Linked DNA regions of Ovis aries. The protein of the gene in region 1 purifies or fractionates together with the protein of each later gene. This does not show direct contact. Links are inferred from orthologs where the notes say so. Each region holds a gene or a part of one and is shown in the gene's direction. Other genes may lie near its edges.

Region 1 (3,823 bases):
CTCCTGTACAATGTTATAAACCTCCATCCATAATTCTTCAGATCTCTCTACCAGATCTAATCCCTTGAATCTATTTGTCACCTCCACTGTATAATCGTAAGTGGTTTGATTTAGGTCATACCTGAATGGCCTAGTGGTTTTCCCTTTCTTCAATTTAAGCCTGGATTTTGCAGTAAGGAGCTGATGATCTAAGCTGTGCCGACTGTATAAGGATTCAGGGTGAAACAGTAGAGATAATAAGTACTCAGATTCTAGATATATTTTGACAGTAGAACCAAAGATTTTTATTCAAGGATTGCTGTGTGGGGAGAGAGAGAGATTGGAGACAAGTATGATCTCAGGATTATTAACCTCAGGACCTAGAAGGATTTAGGATGATGGAGCATATTAATCACTGATGTCTTACTTTTGCCATTAGCAACTATTGTTGTTTGCTTACTCAAATAAAATACTATATTTGAACAGATTTTGGACCTCAGGAAATCTTGAGGGAAGAGGAGTGTACATGTGAGGTCTGGGGTTGGTAATTTTAAATCTATACTTGACATACCCTGTATCTAAAAGTGAAGAAATTGTGGTAGGCAGGAATATCTGATTGCTAAGACATTTTACAAGCAAAGAGGTAGAAAGAAACCAAAAGTCAGCTTTACCTTTGCAGTTTTCTTAGGACCTGGAGGTGGCATCTGCAAGTACTGTTGAAATTCATGTTGCTGTCCTAAAAAATTCAAAGCATTGATCATGCTGCACATAATGTTCTGAGTCTTCTATATCTAGATCCCCAGTTCAGTTCAGTTCAGTCGCTCAGTCATGTCCGACTCTTTGTGACCCCATGAATTCCAACACAGCAGGCCTCACCATCTCCCAGAGTTCACTCAGACTCATGTCCATTGAGTCCGTGATGCCATCCAGCCATCTCATCCTCGGTCGTCCCCTTCTCCTCCTGCCCCCTCAATCCCTCCCAGCATCAGAGTCTTTTCCAATGAGTCAACTCTTCACATGAGGTGGCCAAAGTACTGGAGCTTTAGCATCATTCCTTCCAAAGAAATCCCAGGGTTGATCTCCTTCAGAATGGACTGGTTGGATGTCCTTGCAGTCCAAGGGACTCTTGGAAGTGAAAGAGGAGAGCGAAAAAGTTGGCTTAAAGCTCGACATTCAGAAAACGAAGATCATGGCATCTGGTCGCGTCACTTCATGGGAAATAGATGGGGAAACAGTAGACACAGTGTCAGACTTTATTTTTGGGGGCTCCAAAATCACTGCAGATGGTGACTGCAGCCATGAAATTAAAAGACGCTTACTCTTTGGAAGAAAAGTTATGACCAACCTAGATAGCATATTCAAAAGCAGAGACATTACTTTGCCAACAAAGGTCCATCTAGTCAAGGCTATGGTTTTTCCTGTGGTCATGTATGGATGTGAGAGTTGGACTGTGAATAAGGCTGAGTGCCGAAGAATGGATGCTTTTGAACTGTGGTGTTGGAGAAGACTCTTGAGAGTCCCTTGGACTGCAAGGAGATCCAACCAGTCCATCTAGATCCCCAACTTCAGCCCAAAGTTTGTGTTCAATGTATGTTTAAATCAGTGAAGAAAACATTTCATGATGTCCTACTTTTTAACTAGATTTTGTTTTATTGTTTTTAGGTACAGGTAGCAGATGTGTTCCTTTAATTGATAAAGGAAAAGTTTGATCAAGATCAGATTTATTTTATTATATTGGGGTTTTGGGATTATGGGTTTGTTTTTTGGAGTAAGCCTCTAATTTCATGTAATGTTTAGGCATGCAAGAATGTAAAATCATTATATTGCCACTGATTTCTTATTTTTCCTTTTTTTCCTGCTATTTGCTTATACATCCTTGCACATTCCTCAGAGTGTAGTCAAACACAAAAGACAGAAGGGGAGAATACTTTCTCTTTTCTTAAGTCTTTTTTCTCTTTACTTAAGTCAAGTCTATCAAATCAGAGTATGTTGCAGAGCCATGAATTAAATAAAGGTCATTATGGGTATACTACTGGAAAGCCGAATTTTAAATAGTACTTAAAATTAGAATATTTAATATTATTTAAATAAATAGAGTGTAATATTGATTTATTCACTATAGATGTGTGTCAAATATTTATTGTTTACTGAACATTTGCTCTGTGCCAGATATTTGGTTATCTCAGGCCTTTAACAATTCAGTGAAGGTGGTATGATTTTCCCTGTTTCACAGATGAAGTTTAGAGAAGTTAAAATGTTTGCTCAAGTCAGATATAAAGCAGTATGTGGCAGAGGTAACATTCAAACGTAAGTTTTTCTACTTCAGACCCCATGCTTACAACTATGATTATATTTTAGTAACTCCACTTAGGGCTCTTGAAATGGAGATATTAGTAAGATGTATTTAGGTCTTGCCAGTCCCAATTTTTAAGAAAAAGGAATGGCAATTGGTAAATGGAATGTGAAAAGTGGTCACTACCCATTCTTTACCAGTAGATGGTAGCATCAAATTGAAAACAATGTGTTTGAAAGGGAACCGTCAGAGCAAGTAATGTGTGTGTTCTTTCAGAGCAAGACGGATGAGAGATTAGTGAAGTCTAGTGTAAATTAAAAGTGAGAATTGCCTTTGGTATTATGACAGGCAGCCCAGATATTAGGACCAGTGAGAGCAAATTAACAAAATTATTCCTGGAAAAAGAAAATAATTCCTGGAAAAATACCTTGTAAAAAGAAAAAATGTTGGCTTTTTGTTTTTCTTTTATTAAAAATTGACATTGTTCTTAGTTTTCAGATGCTTCAAGTGTTGCCCACAGAGAGTTGTTTGGATTATGTGTTCCTCAGCTAGACTCAATAAATGCTAACAATGGATAAGTGCCAACACATTGGGCAGTTGCGGCTTGCTCAAGACCATTCCATCCTCAACCCGCAGAAGTGGCGTTGTGTGGACTGCAATACGACTGAGTCGATTTGGGCTTGCCTTAGCTGTTCTCATGTTGCCTGTGGAAGATCTATTGAAGAACACGCACTCGGGCACTTTCAAGAAAGTAGTCATCCTGTTGCATTGGAGGTGAATGAGATGTATGTTTTTTGTTACCTTTGTGATGATTATGTTCTTAATGATAATGCAACTGGAGACCTAAAGTTACTACGAAGTACATTAAGTGCAATCAAAAATCAAAATTATCACTGTACCACTCGTAGTGGAAAGGTTTTACGGTCTATGGCTACAAGTGATGATTCCTATTTCTTACATGATGGCACCCAATCTCTGCTTCAAAATGAAGATCAAATGTATACTGCTCTTTGGCACAGGAGAAGGATACTCATGGGTAAAATCTTTCGAACTTGGTTTGAGCAGTCACCCATTGGAAGAAAAAGGCAAGAACAATTTCAGGAGAAATTAGCAAAAAGAGAGGTGAAGAAAAGACGACAAGAACTATTAGAGCATCAGGCTAATGCAGAATTAGAAAGTATGCCTCCCAGAAAGAGTTTACGTTTACAAGGTCTAGCTCAGTCCACCACAGTAGAAATAGTTCCTGTACCGCTGCAAACCTCAGCATTGCCAGCAAAAGATAAAGTAGTATCTACCTCAGAAGATGTAAGACTGAAAAAAGCTAGTGACTCCTCTGTTAAACGAAGGCCAACAGTAACTCCTGGTGTAACAGGATTGAGAAATTTGGGAAATACTTGCTATATGAATTCTGTTCTCCAAGTATTGAGTCATTTGCTTATTTTTCGACAATGTTTTTTAAAACTTGATCTGAACCGATGGCTGGCTGTGACTGCTAGTGATAAAACCAGATCATCTTATAAGCATCCTCCAGTTACAGATACAGTATATCAA
Region 2 (3,823 bases), on another chromosome or scaffold:
GGCTAGGGTATGTCCTGCAGTGCAAAGGTTATATGGATATAATTGGGAAGACAAAAAATAGCCAACTGTCATTTACTTTTGGCTTGTGTCCAAAATAATGAACTTTCCCAGTTTTAAATGGGGTTTAGTGCAGGTGAGGTGTGCTGGCAGCAAGGCTCGAGTTGTATATGATGTTGGCTCTGAATAGAACAGTACATCAACACCTACATTTTCATTTTACATGCCATGTGCACTTTTCCTCCCAGTTTGCCTTTTCTTTGTTTGTCTAAGGTACTGTGATCTTTGTGAATTCTGCACCTGTCCTGAATTTGTTATGTAGGAATTATTTGAAAAACTCCCTGTGTTTTCCTGTTTCCTGTCTGCTCCTACCTGACAGCTCCTGTGTGTCCTGGCCTTTTCCCAGCCTTTTCCTCTGTGTCAGTCATGGGCCAGCCTGAGGCACCTCACACTTAAATTGTTGCCATTTCCTCTCTTCAATCTTCACCAGTCTGTTCTGTTATCACAATTTCTTTCTAAAATTCTGTTTTTAATCAATACCTTGTTCAAAGGCCTCTTCATACTGAGACCTATCCTTTTTTTAAATAAGTCTCCGTATTTAGATATGGACTTCAGAAACGTTGTGTCTTTATCTATAATTACTCTTCAACATTTTTTATTGAAAGTTCTCTTCCCCCAAGAACATCAGCTTCCTGTCCCTTGTTTTCTTGAAGTCCTGTGTCCTCTCTGAACTTTCTTTGACTGGCTCTTTCCTGCTCAGCCAGCACCCCCTTTCTTTCCTGGCATCTTCCAAACTGTGATATAAACTCATCTGCCATCTTTATTAGCACTGTCAGGTTTGATAAGTCTTGTTCATAGTATTGAAACATTTTGTTATTGTAGAATGTTCCTATTTTATGAATGAGAGTAAATCCTTTGGCATAACCTGTAATGAACCATCCATATTTTACATGCCTAGAATTTATTACGTTGACTATGATAAATTGATCAAGTGAAGTTTGGAAGTCCTCACTTAGTTTTTTTCCTTTTGAGGCATTGTTATTTATGGTTGGCTTTGCTAAGCTGTATTTTGTCGACCTGAGATGCTTTTAAACGCCTGAAGCAGGAACATGTCTTCAAATGGTTGATGGGCCACACCATAACTTGTGGCGTGTTCCTGTTTTAGAGGGACATGAAGTGATGATAAATTGTAGTGATTGATTCTGTAATAGAGTATTTTTTCTTAAGTTTTTTCCCTATAAACAGTTTTCTCAGATATTGATGAGAAGCATCATTTATTTCTTTGTAGCTTTTAGAGTTTGCTCCCATTTTAGATCTGGAGAACTGGGTATGGACATCTGCTTAGGAAAAAATACTGTATTTCAGTTATATTACATTTCCTTTTTAAAAAATGTTGGTACTTAGGATGTGTCTATTTTTAAATGTATTTATTTATTTCACTTTTAGGTGGAAGATGAAACTGTTTTACATAACATTCCGTACATGGGGGATGAAGTTTTAGACCAGGATGGGACTTTCATTGAAGAACTAATAAAAAATTATGATGGAAAAGTACACGGGGATAGAGGTGAGCCATGTGTTTATTCTCTTGGAAAAAGGGCCAGAGAATTGATATTTTGATTTGTTTTTTCAAATGTCAGTATGAAAAAGATTTTTTAAAAACTATAACTGCTGGATTGGCCTGGGCTAAAATTTTAAGTGTTTTCCCTATCTATTTTTAAATAGAAGGATTGTATATGCCGCTTGGAAATTATTCATAGTTGGTTATCAAAAAACTGTGTCAATCACATGCAAATTTAATAGAATTCTTTGAATGTATATAGATTTTAAGGTTCTTTAGCAATGAAATGGGTTAGAATTAGGGCCCTGCTTATGTAACATGGGCTCCAAAAGGCCTTGTGATCAAAATGACGTTCTCTGCTAGGCCACCACAGGACCTGAAGTCCTGACATTAGAACCACAGCTTCGTGCATTATCAGGAGACCTGTTAAAGGGCCTGGCAGGAGGGTGGCATGTAATAGCCTCTCATCCCCTCACGAGTGGACAGCGCAGTCTGGTGGATATGATGTTCAGAGAGAGGCGAAGGCCGTGTTTAGTTTCTGGAGAATTAGGCCGTGGTCGCTGGCACTGGAAACTTGTGAAAATGACAGGTGTTGAGGGTAAATTCTACTTCCAGCTTTGCCTGAGGCCAGTCCTGGAAATGACCTTTCTCCCCAATTTTATAATAATTATGGTGTTGTAGTGCCGATTGATAGGCTCCAGTTGTTTCTTACAAATTAGAAAAAAGCATGATATACTTCTGTGTATTTCTGATATTTGATTTGATGAATTTCAGAATGTGGGTTTATAAATGATGAAATTTTTGTGGAGCTGGTGAATGCTCTTGGTCAGTACAATGATGATGATGACGATGATGACGGAGATGATCCTGATGAAAGAGAAGAAAAACAGAAAGATCTAGAGGAGAGTCGAGAAGGTACATCTGTCTTGTTAGGTTTGTGTGTAGCCATATCAGCGTTTTTTCAAAAAATAAGAATACAGGTAAACTTTTCTTCTTTTTTCTTCTGTTAAATATCACATCAGGGGTAGTATAATCAAAATTAGAATACTGTTTGTAACATTTCATCCTGCACTTGTGAGTCTTTTATTTCCCTTGACTAGCAAAAGAATGTACAGTTTTTAGGTTTCCCTGGAGAATTATCTTAATTATTGTAATATGTAACATCAGTCTTTGACTATGTGCAGGTTATGTGCTTGTTAATTTATATCACTTTATATGTGTATAGACATTTAATCCTCCTAATATTGCATGTGGATTAAGGTGGATTTTATCCTCAGATCCACTTCATAGTTGACATGGATTCAGTGAGGTGAAGTAACTTAAGATCACAGCATTGGGAAGAAAGAGAACCCAGAAAATTCTGTGTTGGAAACCAGCTCTGATTGACCCCAGGGCACATGCTCTAACTTGTATACTAATTACGGATTACCAGAGAAATTAGAGGGTCCCAACTTAGAGCCGGGGTTGGAAGAGACTTGACATGAAGTCAGCATAGAAGGATTTTGGGAAAAATTGTAGTTTCAAAGAAGCGTACCATTCTCATAATCAGTGCCTTAGCGATCATGTGGGCCCTCGTTTACAGATGACACATGCAGGTGGGTCGGTGACGGGATAAGGTCACAGTACCAGTCAGTGGCTGAGCTGGGATCAGAGCCTGGGTTTTTCTGCCTCCCGGTGCACTTGAAACTTTGCATATTTGATTTTGAGTTTTGTCTGACCCACCAGCATTCCAGATACTTGTAAAATAGGTTAGAAGTGAGAGAGACACAGAGTTGATAATTTCTTGAGAAATCAGCATTGTTAAGTGTAGACAAAATGAAACATTGGTGAGCTCGTTCACTTTCATTCTTTTTTCCTTTCGCATTTCCCTGTTTAGATAAAGAAAGCCGTCCACCTCGGAAATTTCCTTCTGATAAAATTTTTGAAGCTATTTCCTCAATGTTTCCAGATAAGGGCACAGCAGAAGAGCTAAAGGAAAAGTAAGATTTGATCTTTTGAGATGGTCTTGCTGTGTGTGGTATGTCACTCACCATTCTGGTTTATTAGAAACGGAGCTAATATAGCTGATGAACCTGCTGCTTTGTGTCTGCAGGATACTTGAACTAATACATGCGTGTATCTGTGGTACCCTGGGCTGCATTTATCATAGATGGAAGAAGTGTGCGCACACACACAATCTATAGGAGTGTGCGCAAGAGGAAATTTCTCTGGACATCCATTGAAATGTTACTGTCATGGCTGTTTCGTTCTAGTGAATATAATCAC

The links.
Region 2: the proteins of USP44 (region 1) and EZH2 purify together in Homo sapiens (affinity purification with western blotting; 3 studies listed by BioGRID, with this or other methods). This does not show direct contact. The link is inferred for Ovis aries from reciprocal best matches to the Homo sapiens genes USP44 and EZH2.

The regions. Positions count from the first base shown.
Region 1 is NC_056056.1:131,658,974-131,662,796, reverse strand, and holds part of USP44 (ubiquitin carboxyl-terminal hydrolase 44), read left to right. Parts: intron 1-2,763; 5' UTR 2,764-2,833; coding exon 2,834-3,823.
Region 2 is NC_056057.1:113,175,636-113,179,458, reverse strand, and holds part of EZH2 (histone-lysine N-methyltransferase EZH2), read left to right. Parts: intron 1-1,443; coding exon 1,444-1,564; intron 1,565-2,332; coding exon 2,333-2,473; intron 2,474-3,434; coding exon 3,435-3,537; intron 3,538-3,823. UniProt on the Homo sapiens protein: Polycomb group (PcG) protein. Catalytic subunit of the PRC2/EED-EZH2 complex, which methylates 'Lys-9' (H3K9me) and 'Lys-27' (H3K27me) of histone H3, leading to transcriptional repression of the affected target gene.